Linked DNA regions of Macaca mulatta. The protein of the gene in region 2 interacts with the protein of the main gene of each other region in a biochemical or structural test. Links are inferred from orthologs where the notes say so. Each region holds a gene or a part of one and is shown on either strand. Other genes may lie near its edges.

The links.
Region 1: the proteins of KLKB1 (region 2) and KNG1 form a complex in vitro, tested with the Homo sapiens proteins (4 studies listed by BioGRID). The link is inferred for Macaca mulatta from reciprocal best matches to the Homo sapiens genes KLKB1 and KNG1.

The regions. Positions count from the first base shown.
Region 1 is NC_133407.1:11,896,975-11,905,787, forward strand, and holds the start of KNG1 (kininogen-1), read right to left. Parts: upstream 5,737-8,813; 5' UTR 5,531-5,736; coding exon 5,296-5,530; intron 3,668-5,295; exon of another isoform or gene 3,631-3,667; coding exon 3,500-3,630; exon of another isoform or gene 3,433-3,499; intron 1,637-3,432; exon of another isoform or gene 1,610-1,636; coding exon 1,525-1,609; intron 1-1,524. UniProt on the Homo sapiens protein: Kininogens are inhibitors of thiol proteases.
Region 2 is NC_133410.1:194,646,286-194,655,039, reverse strand, and holds the start of KLKB1 (plasma kallikrein), read right to left. Parts: upstream 5,227-8,754; 5' UTR 5,099-5,226; intron 4,483-5,098; 5' UTR 4,482-4,482; coding exon 4,424-4,481; intron 532-4,423; coding exon 369-531; intron 1-368. UniProt on the Homo sapiens protein: Participates in the surface-dependent activation of blood coagulation. Activates, in a reciprocal reaction, coagulation factor XII/F12 after binding to negatively charged surfaces.

The DNA.
Region 1 (8,813 bases), on a different chromosome or scaffold from region 2:
CTTCCACTCCCAGGTTGGTCGCAGCAGTATTCACAATAGCAAAGATATGAAATCAACTTAAGTGTCCATCAAAAGGTTAATGAATAAAGAAAATGTGGGGGACCAGGTGCGGTGGCTCACACCTGTAATCCCAGCAGTATGGGAGGCTAAGGTGGGCAGATCACCTGAGGTCAGAAGTTCGAGACCGGCCTGGCCAACATGGTGAAACCCCATCTCTACTAAAAATACAAAAATTATCTGGGCGTGGTGGCGGGTGCCCATAATCCTAGCTATTCAGGAGGCTGAGGCTGGAGAATTGCTTGAACCCCAGAGGTTGCAGTGAGCCAAGATCGTGCCACTGTACCCCAGCCTGGGTGACAGTGCGAGACTCCATCTCAAAAAGAAAAAAAAAGAAAATGTGGTATATATGCATAATGAAATACTATTTGACCATAAACAAAGAATGAAATCATATCATTTAAAGCCACATGGACAGAACTGGAGGTTGTTCAGTGAAACAACCGAAGCACAGAAAGACAAACTGCATATTGTTCTCACTCATATTTGGAAGGTAAAACACTTAATCACATGGAGATAGAGGAGAGAAGAGAATGACGGATACCAGAGGCTGAGCAGGGCAGGGAAGTAGAAGGGGGAAATGAAGAGCTTGGTAAAATAGGTACTGAATTATAGTTAGATAGAAGAAATACGTTCTAATGTTATATAGCAGACTAGGCTGACTATAGTTAGCAACAATATATTGTATGTTTCAAAGTAGCTAGAAGAGAGGACTTGAAATATCACCAATTCATAGACATGATAAATATTCCAGGTGATGGGTACCCCAAATACTCTGACTTGATCATTACATGTTCAAGGCATGTAAAAAACACTTACATGTACCTCATAAATATGTAAAATATAATGTATCAGTAAAAGAAAAAAAGAAGGAGAAGTTAATACATGTAAGGAGCTTCGAGTCATGGCTGGGACATAAGGACTCAATACATGTTAGCTATTATCTTTATCCTGATTGTTGCTAATATGTTATTATGATTAATATGTTAGTATGTTGATTGTACCTCCAGACATATCATCTCATTTCAGCCTCACGACAGTCCTGTGAGCTGGGAAGTACTGTTACCTCCCTTTTCTAGACAACGAAAAGGACAGCCAAGAAGGTGAGGAGCTCTGAAAGATTCCAGGCCAGGGCTGCCCTCAAAGCCTATGCACTCCTCACTCTGGGATGCTGCCTACAATAGAGGGCAGGCAGGTCTTGTGCCTCCTGGTCCTTCTGCAGAGCCCTTGCACATACTGGGTACAATGCAGCACACGGGAAGAGTTGGGATAGTCCTAAGGGGATGATGGTCACAAGCCTGGCCCACCCTCCGGGCTCTGCCGCTCCACCCAATGCTCCCTAATTGTGCAAATGGCTTTACTACTGCCGCCCTCTGGGAGCAAGCAGAGCCTGGTCAAGGTTGTGTTCCTGGCACACAGAAGCGGTTAATTTCCCACCAGGGCAGTGCCAGAGGATAAACCAGCTACCTGGAGTAATCTGGCAGGTCTGGGTAGCCACAGAGAATTTCATACTCGCCCTCTTCCCCACGGTTGCCGTGCATTCTCCAGTGGCCTAAAAAGAAAAGAAAGATAATTTATCCTAATCTTTCAGATGGGAAAGTCTACCTAGTACTGTTGCTAAATGTGGCTTTCCTTAAAAAAACAAAACAAAACAGAACTTGTGAAGATTTTATCCAAAAGAGTTTTGAGACATGAGAATAAATGTTTTTTTTTATAGCCTAATGATTACATAAGCCTCTGATATTCATAAGATGTTGGAGGAAAGACAGTGTAAAAAGGTTTTAAAGGTTGAGTCTTTGTTTTGAGCCCTGGAGGTATTTCTTTTTTCTTTTTCTTTTCTTTTTTCTTTTTATTTTTTTGAGACAGAGTGTCACTCTTGTTACCCAGACTGGAGTGCAATAGTGCGATCTCGGCTCACTGCAACCTCTGCCTCCCAGATTCAAGCGATTCTTCTGCCTCAGCCTCCCAAGTAGCTGAGATTACATGTGCATGCCACCACGCCCAGCTAATTTTGTATTTTTAGTAGAGACGGGGTTTCACTACGTTGGTCACGCTGGTCTCAAACCCCTGACCTCAAATGATCCAATAACCTCGGCCTCCCAAAGTGTTAGGATTGCAGGCGTGAACCACTGTGCCTGGCTGAGCCCTGGAGCTATTTCTTTCTAACCAAGATGGGTGCAGAGGTCTAGTACCAGCCTGGTAAACACTCCTGTTATCTACTTCTCAACTTTAGTGAGTTAATACTGTTCATATAAACTTCATTTTAGCTTAATAGAAAGGGCAAGGACCTTGGCATCAAAATGTTTTTCAGTTCCAGCCTTGTCACTTGCTAGCTGTTACCTATGTCATGTCCCGTTGACTCTCGGAGTCTCAGTTTACCCATCTTGTAGGAGATAGGACACATCTATCTCTTAGAGTTGTTGTGAACAGTATGTGTGCAAACACACGCTGTGTTTGCCTACTAGAGGCCCACCACAGAGCAGGCACTTAACAATAGGCAGTTGTTTAATTGTTATTGTTGAACACTGTTTTTGTTTTGTTTTGTCTTGTCATTCTTCAGTCATATCCATTGGATTCTAAGTGACAGATATTATTCCATCAGGATAGAGCACACCTCCCTTTATCCACACAGCTCCTAGAAGCAGGCAGCACAGGGCACAGCAGCTACTTATCCCCACCTTGCAGATGAGACGATTGAGAAGGGACAACCAGCACTGCAAACTCCTGGACTCCTGACTTGGAGTTCAGTGCTGTTCGGTAACCGCAGATGACTTGACAGTCATCTTTTACGTTCTGACATAAAAGAAGGGAATCAATCCATGAAAAACAAGGCTTGCTTCCGAGGCAGATACTGTCTGAAGTCTTCCTTAATTAAAGCAAAACAACCGGCTACGGTGTGCCAGGCCTATATGTTAGGCATTTGGTTAAGATAGGCATTGTTATCAAAGTTATTTGCATAATTCATCTAATTTCATCCTCTGACAACCTGATGAGGTCAGTATTATCTCCCATATACAGTGGAGAGTGCCAGTTCTGAGAGGTCACAGCTCACCCGCTATCACACAGCTAATGGAAGGCAGAGTCAAGATTTGCACTCAAGGTTGTGCAATGGAAGCACCCAGGCCCTCCCCTCGCCAGCCCTTCGGCTTGGCCCAAATGTCCATCTGTTGTCTCTCTGGAGTCTGAGCCACATGTTCTGACTGGACACTAGAGCTCCCTTCTCATGGAAAGGCTTTCTCCATGTTTAACTGCTGGCCTCTCCATAATTTTTCTGTCTATACAAGAACACAGATACAAAGCATCTGACTTTTCTACACATTAGAATGTTTATTTGCATTTCTCATAAACAGGCTCACCAGTAGTCATCATTTCTGCAGGAGTAAAAAAATCTGGCAGAGTCAACAGAGAAAACAGAAGGCCCAAGAATGGCCAATACACTTACCGCTTCTGCAGCATCCTTGTAGTCACAGTCCTGCCAGGTTTTGCCACTTTGAACAGGACAATCCCCCTCCTTGATTTCGTACTTGAAGGAATAAAATGTGTCAGAGCGAACCTGAAAAGCAGCCAAAGATACTTAGGGTTCATCCAACTGACCCGATAGCAAATAATTCTAGTGGGTTCCAGTAAAGTTAGGAATATTGATCTTTGACTTGAGAGCAAAGCATTCACTTAAAATATATTTATATTTGTATCATAAACATTTATGTGAAAGAATGTTTATAACATACTCACAATGTCGTTTTAAAGGTTATAAAGCAGTATGCATAGTATTAGCCCATTTTTGTAAAAACTGGTTTATATATAAATCTATGTTTTTTAAAAGTCTGGAAAGATGCACAGCAAGCTGTTAAAATGTTTGTCTGTCAGTGGTGAGATTATAATTATCTTTCACATTCTTCTTCAAGCAAACATTTCTAAGTGACCTTTTTCCCCTGATGAACATATGTGACTTTTACGAATTAGAAAAAGCAAACAAGAAAACCTTAAACAAATGTTAACAGTTATCTCTGTATGGTGGCATTAATTATGGGTGATTTTAGTACTTTTATTTGGTTTGTTTTGTTTCCTACTTTTTCTTTTTTAAACAGCTTTATTGAGATATAATTTACGTGCCATAAAATTTACCCTCTAAAGGTATGCAGTTTAATGTTTTTTGTATATTTACAACCGTACCCACCACAATCTATTGGGTACCACACCACAAATAAACTGTTGCTTGAGATTACCATGAAGCAGAATTTCTCACATGACTGTACTAGATTGTGAAACAAAATGGCTCAATTTTATTTTCAGAAAAAATAACATGTCCACTGTGTTTATTTTCTTTTATCCCCATGTTGTCACATGGTTAGTTTTTTTTTTTTTTCTGCTAAAGTAACCAATTGCTTAGCTGTCCCAGAGAGGTAGTCTTTTATAGTGAAATTTGTTTAAACATACTCTTGAAAGATTGGTATTTCTTTGAACCATGCATCCTGCAAGGATTTATCTCCTACTGGAGTACATCATTACAATAATATCAAAAACAAACATTGCTGTTAAAGCTGGTACATTCAGCCATACAGACTTCTGTCTAATTCCGTAGAATTGCACTAAACTCATTCCTGACTCCTCTTAGACATGACCCATTAAGTATCCCCTCCCATTTAAGGTTTGGAGGTCTATATTTTTTAGCCTAGGGCCAGAGACCCAGTGAATTCTTTTGCTGCAGTCTAACTAAATTCCTAAATTCTCCCACTCTAGTTGGTCCTGTTCAGATTTCTCCATTTACTTTTGTTTCATTTCACCCTACATTCTACTTCTCTGATCAGGAAGCCCATCTGCCTGAGGATGAGTCATACTCTGCCCTCCCACCCCAGGCCAGAGACTGGTATCGGTCTTTCCACAAGTTGTAAACTTCTGCCTTTGATGATCACATCTTTGGTGGTGGTGGTGGTGGGGTGGTGGTGCTGGGTAGTGGTGGTGGTGGGTGGTGCTGGGTAGTGGTGGTGGTGGGTGGTGGTGGTGTGGGGTGGTGGTGGTGGTGGTGGGTGGTGGTGGGTGGTGGTGGTGGTGGTGTAGTGGTGGTGGTGGTGGGGAGTGGTGGGTGGTGGTGATGTTGGGGGGTGGTGGTGATAGGTGGTGGTGGTGGGTGGTGGTGATGGGGGGTGTGGTGGTGATGGTGCGGGGTGGTGGTGGTGGTGGTGGTGGGGTGTGTGTGTGTGTGTGTGTGTGTGAGGCCTGGGCTCCTAGTGACAGTACAAATCCCAAGTGACTTCAAGGTTAAACACAGTTCACTCACCATCTTAGTGGCTTCAGTTATGCGGTACAGTACGAACTGGTTGTTACTTTGGTTTTGACTGTTATATTTCTTCAGAGCAGCATCCACAGCTTTAAATAAATCCTTATCATTGCAGTCAATTTCCTCGGACTGTGATTCCTGGGTTAAACTTAGTAGCAGCCTGGAGCAGAAGAAAAGGATGATAATTAGTTTCATGATCTAACAGTCTCCCTCTAGGAGCTGAGGGATGGTTTCACCAAGAATCAAGAGCCAACTGGGATACTGAATTTGACAATCTCCAGCCTCTCGTTTTCTGTCCTCCTCTCTGCCTCAGCACTCAGGGCACTGGTTGGATTCCTGCTGCCATACGCTAGTTGCCCTGTTCCCAAAGGTTAAATGGCTCTGCTGGGTTATCCAAACATATTTACGGCTAGAACATTGCAACACTGGGGTTGTTAACCTGCTCATTTGCATTTGAAAATCACGAGGGAGCACAGTGCATATTTCCAGGTGATTATACAACTTTATGTAGCAAATCAGAGCAGAATCTGATGAAGGAGGGGAATAAAGTACTTACTAACTCGGTTATTCCCCTGTGACTTTCACAAAGCCATTTTTGAAGGTCACTACATGGGTAAACAATGCAAGAATGAGTACAATGTGCAGACATGTTTCCTGCAGAATCTCTTGGCAGGATACCTACCTGCACAAAAGCAGACTGCTATTAATTCTATTACATGCCTAAGAAGCTCATGCACAGGGGCAGCCAGTGAGTTCCGGGAGTCTCATACAGGATGTTGACACAACTGAAAATAAAACATGGGTGTCCTATCTGGTCTCTGGACAGGCCAGCTTTTTTATGCTCAATTGCATTAGTTCTGTAAAAGAAAATTGCTCCCAGGGTGGAGGCGATAGAGGAGAAGCATAGGAAGAGACGGGTTGGGTGAAGCCCTGGATTCCCTCTGCTTGCTTCTTTCTGGTTTGGTGGTGTTGGTTTGGCGCAGAAAAAGATAGCCCCAAATATGGCTTTTTGGCATGCCGAGTACTTCGAACTGAAGGACATTAAAAAGGCTGCAAAAACAAAGCCTCTTTCTTGCTTTCTCCTGCCTGTCTTTCTCCTGCTCCACTTCTTCCCTCAAGGCAGGCCACGGAAGCTAGAATTTCTCTTCCCCAAGGCGGGTCATAGAACCCTTCTCCCTCAAAATCAGCAATAAAACTTTATTATTCTTATTTTCCTCACATCAACACAGAGTGGGGAAACTATATTACAGAATGGCCCCCATCTGTAGGCCAACATTGGAAAACTACAGTTGATCATCTCAACAGACGTGTGAGGCTTGATGGTATCAACATCCTTACTCCTAAAGGATAAAAACTGGCCGGGTGCGGTGGCTCACGCCTGTAATCCCAGCACTTTGGGAGGCCGAGGCGGGTGGATCACCTGAGATCAGGAGTTCGAGGCCAGCCTGACCAACATGGAGAAAGTCCATCTCCACTAAAAATACAAAATTAGCCGGGCGTAGTGGCACATGCCTGTAATCCCAGCTGCTTGGGAAGCTGAGGCAGGAGAATTGCTGGAACCTGGGAGGTGGAGATTGCAGTGAGCTGAGATGACACCATTGCACTCCAGCCTGGACAAAAAGAGCAAAACTCTGTCCAAAAAAAAAAAAAAAAAAAAAAAATCGGCCTATTCACTCTGCTCCTTGTTTAGACTTTAATTTTTAAAAAAATCTGTAGAGCCATGTTCATGATGACAAACCTACTTTTTCTTTCTTTTTTCCTTTTTCCTTTTTTTTTTTTTTTTGACATAGGACGTAGATGTTTGGACTATTTTTAATCTTTTTTTTCTGATAAAAAAATTCTGTAAAGAAAATCTTTATGCTCACCTATAAAATAGAACAAAGATTTCTTGGAGAGATGTAAAACATGGCTGTGCATCTTATTTTATATACACTTATATAATAAATTTCAGGTTAATTTATTCTTAGATTCTATGCCTAATTTTTTTTTTTTTTGAGACAGAGTCTTGCTCTGTGGCCCAGGCTGGGGTGCAGTGGTGCAATCTCAGCTCATTGGACCTCCCAGGCTCAAGCAATTCTTCTGCCTCAGCCTCCCAAGTAGCTGGGATTACAGGGACTTGCCACCACACCCAGCTAATTTTTGTATTTTTAGTAGAGATGGGGTTTCACCATGTTGGCAGGCTGGTCTTGAACTCCTGACCTCCATTGATCTCCCTGCCTTGGCCTCCCAAAGTGCTGGAATTACAGGTGTGAGCCACTGCACCCGAATGCTGTGCCTAATATTAAAAGCTAGCAACGACTAAGCCTCAGCCTTGGAGTCCTAACTACAGGGAGCATCTTTAAATTCATTCAAGGTTGATTGAACTGGATATGACTTTACTTTTCTGCCAAATCATATTACTCCCTAATTCTTGGAAAAGTTTTCATACTTTTTGTGTGATACTAGCAATTGCACTCTTTTCCCCAGAAGTGTTGTATCTCTCCCCCTGCTTCTTCCTCACACACACCCACACACACACCCCCAGAGCCATAAGAACGAAATACACTATGTGTGTGCAAATACCACTTAGTCTGGTACTGCTCATAACAAAGCGTACTAGAAAACCCACCTGAGGGTTGAAGACTTCACAGTTTATTACATCGTAGGACAAATCTGCTCTGCAGAATCCAAAGACTTTCAAAGAAGAGAGAAGCCTGTGTGTGTGTGTGTGTGTGTGTGCACATGGGGAACTGAAGATGCCCAGCCAGAGTTGTGAGCGTCCAGTCATTCAGCAAAGGAAGAGGAGCTTTAGAAAAATCAGAGTAATATGATCAGATAGCCCCACCAGTGGGTCACCAGTCTCCCCTCATGTACACGCTGATGAAAGCCCAGGTGGTGAAGGGTGTCATTTAAGTTGTTGTGGTTTTCTTCCACGGAGGAAAGTGTTGAACAAAAGGGAACCTGTATAGCATAAAGATGGATTTTCATGGACCCTGCCAAGATAAGTGTCTGCTGGCTCTACCCTGTGTACAAGGGCTACAATTGGCTGGCACGCCTGTGCTCCAGAGGCCCCTAAACCCAGCTGTGAAAGATAAACTGAGACAGGAGGATGGCTGCCTGCTAGACATGAGCAGGCACCAGCACTGGGCTTCCCCATGAGTGGTGGTGAGGAAAACCACATCAGCCCTTCTGCACTGGAGACTTCAGTTGCCTGTGCTTCAACACTATTCTTCACTCTGCCTTTCACAAAATGTACCACCTAAGTGATAAGGTGAATACTATTTCACTGAAAAGGTTCAAATGATATGAACATAAGCAGAGTGTGAAAAATCACCCGTCCCGCACCTCAGCTTCTTCTCAGAGGTACCACTGTCATTCATTTTATATGCTTCTCCTTCTAGCCTTCTATTCACTTCACAGCTTGTATACACTGCAGTCTATTTAACTTTGCATTTTCTTTTCTTTCTTTCTTTCTTTTTTTTTTTTTGAGATGGAGTCT
Region 2 (8,754 bases):
ACACAGTTAAGTCTGTTTCTTTATTCAGATGAAATGTTCGCCTGTTAGACGCTTTCTGGAGACAATCTCTTAGCCCAACGATGTTCAAGCATTTTGAGGCTTTGAATAGAAAATGACTAACTTCTACTACTTTAAATAAACACAGTGATTGTTTAAAATGCAATTTCTAGTCCCAAGAAACTTTGGTTCAGCAAATCTGGGTTGTTGCCGAGGAATCTGCATTGGTAAGAACCACTTGAAGGGATTTTGCTGAAGCTGGTCCTTGAACCCCGTCTGAGACAGAACTCTCAGTTATACTACACCTCTTTGCACAAAACCGATTCAGTTTAGAAAAATGGCTTCTCCAATAATGAAATATCAACTTTTACCTTTTCTCCATGTCATTGATGGAACTTGCTGGAAGAAAACTGAATAGCAAACACCTTGGGTGGAATGTGCACATCATCTGGCAGTGCTGGGCGGTCGGGGTGTACATGGAAGCTACATCCCCACCTCTGAAGAAGGCGTTTTCATATAGTTGAGTCAGACATCCTGTGATAGAACCATAAAAGTTAATTTGAGATAATTCAAATAATAATTTTAACAAAAAGATATCTGTTGTCTTAACTTCTCCCACTGACTGACTACTCCAAGACCTGTATAATATAATTCTAATTATGCTGAGAAAATAAAATATATTAAGGCAACCATTTGAACAATGTAGATTGTTATTTAATTTTCTGGGCACTTCTGCATTAAAACTTTGGCTTATTTTCATTAAATTGCACAAAAATTTGCACATAAATTACCCACAATAAAATAAAATCCTAACTTAGTTTTTCCCTGTTGCCTGACATGCTATGAAAATATCATGCCTTAAAAAGAATAATATTTGCTCTATTTTCAAAACACTTTGGTTACAAACATCTCCACCAGCTTCTCACAATTCTGTAAGGGAAGTTAGAAGCAGGTTTTGTTATCTGCATCTGGATTAGGTTTTTTGAAAGAAAGTTAAATAACTGAATCTCAGGGCATACAGACTTGCCCAAGATCCACACACTTAATGAAAATCCTGCGACAGTCACCCAGCCCTGACTCCCAGTCCTGTGTCCTTTTCTAGCATGCAGTGCTAAATATTGTTCCGCATCTCAGTATGATTCAAGCAAACTGACAATATTTTTTACTCATTTTTAAGATAGTTTAAGCAAATGCATGCATATGCTAAATGGAAAGTAAATTTTGAACTATTTGCTGTTTGGAATTATTCCCAGCTCTAAAATACACTGCACCCCACCTATTATTAGAGAATTAGGTGTCATTACTGCTTTAATTTGTAAATGTGGATTTACCTGGAAAGACTCTCTTCCAAGTCTGCTTAATGAGCTTTCCTGGTCAGCCAGCATATTCATTTCAGTCAGTCAACTGACCATTAACCATGGCTATTCCGATGACAACCTGTCCATTCGCTGGGGCATTAACCATGGCTATTCCGATGACAACCTGTCCATTCGCTGGGGCAGTAGTTACTCTTCAATTTAAATAGTACCTATTTTTTTATTGCCTTTGAGGGAATGGGCAACTTAGACCACGTGCATTTTATTAAGCACTGGAGAGTGCCATCTTCTCTGCACAATCCTACCCCCTGGGAATTCTGGCCCTGAGCCCCAGTCTGACCACCCAACACAGCAAGACTTCTATCCCTCTCAGAGGTGCGGCCAGATGACCACCTCTCGGGTAAGGTTTACATTTGGGAAGAGCACAGATCTCTTCAAATGGAAGCTTTGGGGAATACAAGTGTATTGCCTAGATTTCATGTATGCACAAAGCATGGAGGCATTGGTTTAGTGACAATACAGGTTACAAAGAGGTCTGTTTTGTCAGACAGTTGGTGGTTTTGACTGACTCATAATTATCAAGCAGTCACTCCTCTTCCAGCACCTAGGTTCACACGCAAGGATGCACACAATGGCTGGTGCTGGCCCAGAGCTTCCCATTCTGCCATTGAGCCTCTGTGACCTGCCATGTGACTCAGTCAGGGAAGGGAGTGACTAGAAAAACGCCAACTTTGTTGCTGAATGGAAAGAAACTTCTAGTAGGTGTTCTTGCTTATCCTCCTAAGTTGGTGATCATGCTGATAATGATGATCATGACAATGATAGCCGTGTCTGTACTGTATTTTGGAGCATATGTAAAGTACTGTTATATAGTTTATCTCATAATGATGGTGGCTTTCAAAGCTTTCACATGGGCTCCCATGTCCACGGATTTTGGGCAGGTTATTCAGTCTTGTTTAACAATTACATAAACAATAAGGAGAAGAAAAGTACTCTAATTTTAAAGAATTAGTGGACAAATATGAAAAGATAATTTACAAAAGAAATAGAAGTGATTAGTAAGTACACGAAAATGGGAAGAATCACAAATACAGGCAAGTTAAAACAACTAGAAGCCAGTTTTCCATGAGATTAGTAAAAATGAAAAATTAAATAACCAGTATTTGTATACTGGTTTTGATTGCAAATGATGGAAAACCTAGTACAAAGTGGCTTGAATACAAATGAAATCTATTGGTTCAGGAGCCAAAAAGCCCACGGTGACTCTGGCTTAAGGAGTAACCCCACATTGTGCTCAACGGATAGCATCAGTGGACAATAGTCTCCTTCCGCTTGCTCCAGTCATGATGTTACCATTACTCTCAAGCTCCACATAGTAGCAAAATAGGACCAGCAGCTCAGGCCTCTGTATTCTCTTATGTTTCAAGTTAAATTGGAAAAAAAAAAGTAAGAGTCCTATTTCTAGACGTCTAAACAAACGCTTCATTGCAAGATGTTGGCTCTGATTGGGTCACTGCAGTCAGCAGGATGTGTGCACTTCCTGGTTCAGCAGAAGAGTCAGGGTCACCAGAACCACATGGACCAAAACTGAGAGGCAGTAGCTCTGCAGAAATAAATTAGGATACTGTTTCCAGAAAGATAAACATGTCGGGATGCAAAGCAACAGAAGCCTGTTAGAGTTGGCCTAAGTGGGGTAAATGAGGACTCTTATTAGCTGGTAGAAGAAGTCAACTAGGGAGTAACTTTTCTGAAAGATAATTTCATGATGCCACACCATAAAACCTTCTAAAATATTCATACCTTTGAATCTAGTATTTTTATTTCAAAAAATGTATTCTACAGAAATAACTAAGTGCATAAGAATGTGCACACAAACATACCATAAAAAGAGAATAGCAAGCTCCAAAAAATGTCATTTATTTGCACCAAAAGGTAGCTGTAAGTGGAAAATGCAAGTCAAAGAGTATCCATAGTTAATAACTCTTTTTTGTAAAATGTGCAAATAGGCATATGTAGAAAAATATCTGAAAGACTAAACAAAAGATGTTTAACAACGACTGCTTCTGAATTTGGGGACTACATGCAATATGTAGTTTATAGTTTTTTGCTTATTTACATCCTTAATTTTCCTAGCCATAATCATGATTTATTTTGCCAGAAGAAAAAAACAGAAAATGAGAAACCACCTGGAGGTGGCCGTGGTTCACAGTATCCCTGGCTCATGCTCCTTTTCAGTTTTCAGTGGGTTTGCACATGGGTTGGTAAATCACGGTTTAGAAAAGCAATCAGGGTTGAGGGACAGACACAGGGGAGTTGTGATTTAGGGGGAATCAAAGCCTTTTTTCCTGGAAAAGTAGTCTCTTTATGAATGTAAACCTTCCCTGTAGACGTTTATTGTAGCCATACGAGAGGAAAGTTAAATACTCATTGTTATGTGGCCCTCTTAAGTCACCATAGACTCAGAATCATGCCTTGTGGGGACACAGAGAAAACTCCCTCTATAGCGATTAATGAAATGTCCAGAATCATTTTTATTCTCCAAAAATTAATGATATTAATAGAGAAATGAGATCGAAATCTAGTGTTGAAAGTTATTCACCTAGAACTATCCAAATGCCTGGTTTGCTAAGTTAAATTTAAACCAGGTACTTTCATTTTTGAAATGGTTCCCTGGCTGTCCAGAGTAAAACTATGTATCATGTACCTAACAGATACTTGGATTGGACCCAGACACTATATAATGCCCAGCACTCTTTTGAAATTTCAGATAATGTTTAATTTTTTAATGTTGATAAAAATAGAGGAGTAATTTTTTTGTTTTGAGTTTTGTTTTGCAGAGTGTCATCTGTGAACAGAAGTTTTTATTAACACAAGTCCCAAGACATTCCCGCTTCTGAGCTCCTTCCTCTGGTCTGCAATGTATGTATACAGCAATATATCTCACAAGTCGTACTTGTTCTGGAACATTAAATAGACACGTGTCCTGAATCATCAGGGACTATCTCCATCCCCGAAGCTGTATGTTCAATAGCTTTCTCCAGAGGTGGTGCGACTTGCTTGGCTACTCCTGTCTTAGCCTGAATTTCATGCTTTATAGATAATTCACTTACCACAGGAAACTGTAGCAAACAAGGAAATGAAATAAGTTGCTTGCTTGAATAAAATCATTCTAAAAAAGAAAACAATACATAACTCTGTTGGTTTTAGACTGCATTTAACATAAATCTTAATTTAAGGTGATACAGATTTTCTTGTAAATGTCTGAATTACAAGACAAAGCACACAGTTTCTGGTATAGAAAACAAGGGGTTTTTTTCTCTACATTTGTGTCTAGGGAGTTGGAAAGTTTATAATGCTTCCCAAGATACAAATTGAGACCTTCAGACTACTGCTGTGTTTATTGTTGATTGGCAAACTCTGTGGCTAGTAATGTTGGAAAGGGAATTGGTAGAGAGAGAGATTAAACAGTTATGAAACCTCTTGATTTGAGCAAAAAGAAAATTAATAAATAATGGCAATAATGTCAGTCCAAAAATCCCTAAATAAAGAAAACCTCTGAAAATATTAAAGCCCAATTAAAAATTTTAAATCAATCAAGTATTCTTTTTGATTTAAAGTCATCTTACATTTAAATATTTCTACATAAAGGAATATTAGTTCCTTCTCTACTATCTATATACTCAGGAAATTAGAATATAAATGACTAATTTTCTCATAAAGTAAAAAACTATACTTTAAAAATTATAGTTTCTTTGGAAACAATCAGAATAATAGAAATTTGCTACCTGAAAACACAATTGCTTCTTGGAGGTGAGTCTCTTGTCACTTAAAAATGAACGGTCTTCAAGCTGTTCTAATGTGGCACCGCAGGCAATGTTTTCCTTGGCTTCGATATTGACTTTGGGTTTCTGCCAACAGTTTCAACTTTTTGTCCTGTCAACATATTCCGTGAACATCCTATCCGTGTTCAGCTGTTAAGTATATTAACTATTTCAGGGAGTGATGTCAGCAAGAACCGGAATAGGAGTTTGTCAGAACAGGAGTTTCTAGTGCTCATCCCTTGCAGAAACATCAATTTGAATAAGTATCCATGCACGAAAATAACTTCACTAGAGCTCAGGAATCAGGTGAGAGGTTGTACCACCCAGTTGCAGCACAGAAGTAAGAAAAGACACATTGAAGTGCATAGGAAGGACAATTTCACATTACCAGTGTCACCCACCTTCAAGCCTGGGCAGCACAGCATGGAGAGAGATACCCTCTTGCATGGAAGAGGAACAGTTAAGATAGCACCCACCTTCACCACAGACCCCAAGCACCAAGCCCACTCCAGTAAACCCCGGCACCAGGATTCAGCCCTGCCACAGGCCAGACTGGCCTCTGTGGCCTCAGCCCCATGCTCACCCCAGACCAGGTCAGCCCCTGGGGGTCTAGACTCCAAGGTGGCCACAGAAGACCTAGACTTCAGACCTGCTCCAGCTCTAGCCTGGCCCCCAAGACTCTAGCCTCCACATTAGCCCCAGCAGCCCAAGGCTCCAAGTTGGTACCCATGGGCCTAGAATTCAGGCCATCCCCTGCAGATCCAGCACCAGGTCAGCCTCCAGAGATCTTGGCCATGTGGACCCAGATGCTGGGCTCACCCCAGTGGACCCTGGTCCCAGGACAGCCTGAATAAACTCAGGAACAGGTCTGTCCCCATGAACTCAGGTGCTAGGTGATCCCCATGTTAGGCTGGCCCCTGCAGACTCAGGCTTAAGGCTCATTTCAGTGCCAAGTCAGCCCTCAAGGATCCATGCTTCAAGCCAGTCCTTGTGCACAGAATACAGACAACCACAATGAATGAACCCAGAATCCAGCCCTGCCTACCTTAGAACTCCAACAGAAATCCTGTGCATAGACCCCAACAGACAGCCCACCCATAATCTCTGGTCAATCTGACTAGTGAACGGCTTCCTCTACTGAAGCTAGTATGTAAAGACTGAAATAGGTACCTACTTCAATGCAAGGCCACACTGATCACAAATAATCAGGGAAACAAGAAACCACCAAAGGAAGAAAATAAAGCAGCAGGAGGCGACTCTAAAGAAATGGAGATCTATACTGCATGACAAAGAGTTAAAAATAATTATCTTAAGAAAGCTCAGTGAGCTACAAAACAATATAGATAGACAGTAAACAAAATCAGGAAAATAATACATGAGCAAAATTAGAAGTTCAACAAAAAGATAGATAGGAACCATAAAAAGAACCAAACAGAAATTCTCGAACTGAAGAACACAATGACTGAATTGAAAAAATTCACAAACATCTTCAGCAGCAGACTTGATCAAGCAGGAGAAAGAATCAGCACACTCAGATACAGGTCATTTGAAATTACCCAGTCAGAGTAATAAAAGGAATGATAAAGATTGCAGAAAGCTGACAAAAATTACAGGACACTGTTAAGAAAACTAATATGCATGACAAGAGTTCCAGAAGAAGCAGAGAAAGAGAAAGTTGCAGAAACTTATTTTTAAAAATAAGAACAGAAAACTCTCAAAATTTGGAGACATAAATGAAATAAACATCCAGATTTATGAAGCCCAAAAGAACTCCAATAGATTAAATATAAAGAGATCCTCACCATGACAAAGAGAGAATTTTCAAAGAAGCAAGAGAAAAGCAATTCTTCACATACAAGGGAAGCTTCATAAGATTATCAGTGGATTTCTCAGCAGAAATCATGTAGGCTGAGAGAATGGGATGATATATTCAAAGTACTGAAAGTACAAAACCTGGCAACCAGGAATATAATATCAGGCAAAGCTGTCCTTCAGAAAGGAAGGAGAGAAAAAGAATTTCCCAGATGTATTAGTTCAGTTTCACATTGCTGTAAAGATACTACCTGAGACTGGGCAATTTATAAACAAAAGAGGTTGAACTGACCCACGGTTACCCATGGCTGGGGAGACCTCAGGAAACTTATAATCATGATGGAAGGCAGAGGGGAAGCAGACACCTTCTTCACAAGGTGATAGGAGAGACAGAGTGTGCATGTGCAGGGGAAACAGCTACTTTTAAATCCCTCACTATCATGAGAACACAGCACAGGGGAAACCACCCCAATGATCCTATCACCTCCCACCAGGCCCCTCCTTCAACATGCAGGGATTACAATTCAAGATGAGGTTTGGGTGGGGACATGGAGCCAAACTATATCATTCTTCCCCTGGCCTTTCCCAAATCTCACGTCCTTTTCAGATTTCAAAACCAATGATGTCTTTCCAACAGTCCCCCAAAGTCTTAACTTATTCCACAGTAACCCAAAAGTCCAAGTCCAAAGTCTCATCTGAGACAATGAGCCTTTAAAATAAAAAACAAGTTAATTACTTCCAAAATACAACAGGGGTACAGGAATTGGGTAAATGTTCCCATTCCAAATGGGAGAAATTGGCCAAAATAAAGGGGGCACAGGCCCCATGCATGTGCAAAACCTAGCAGGGAAATCATTAAATTTTAAAGCTCCAAAATAACCTCCTTTAAGCCCCTGTCTCACATCCAGGGCATGCTAATGCAAGAGGTGGGCTGTTAAGGCCTTGGGCAGCTCTGCCCCTGTGGCTCTGCAGGGTACAGCCCCGACGGCTGCCTTCATTGGCTGGCACTGAATGCCTGCAACTTTTCCAGGCACATGGTGAAAGTGGTCAGTAGATCTACCATTCTGGGGTCTGGAAGATGGAGGAACTCTTTTCACAGCCCGCTGGTCAGTGCCCCAGTGGGGACTCTGTGTGTGGGCTCCAACCCCACATTTCACCTCTGCATGGCCCTAATAGAGGTTCTCCATGAGGGCTGTGTCCCTGTAGCAGACTTCTGCCTGGACAGCCAGGTGTTTCCACGCAGCCTGTGAAATCTAGGTGGAGGCTCCCAAAGCTCAACTCTTGTTTTCTGTGCACTTGCAGGCCCAAGAGCACATGGAAGCCACCAAGGCTTGCACCCTTGAAGCAACAGCCTGAGCTATGGAACCTTTTAGCCATAGCTGGAGATGGAAATTTTAGCCATAGCTGGAGTGGCTGAGGCACAGACCACCAAGTCCCAAGGCTGCACACAGCAGTAGGGCCCATGAAACCATTTTTCCCTCCTAGGCCTCTGGGCTTGTAATGGGAGGGGCTGCCTTGAAGACCTCTGAAATGCCCTAGTGACATTTTCCCCATTGTTTGGCAGTTAACATTCAGCTCCTGGTTACTTATGTAAATTTCTGCAGCCAGCTTGAATTTCTCCCCAGAAAATTGGTTTTTCTTTTCTACCACGTGGTCAGGCTGCAAATTTTCCAAACTTTTATGCTTTGCTTCCCTTTTAAACATAAGTACCAATTTAAGACCATCTCTTTGTGAATGCATATGACTGTATGCTTTCAGAAAAAGCCAGGTTATATCTTGAATGCTTTTCTGCTTAGAAATTTCTTCTG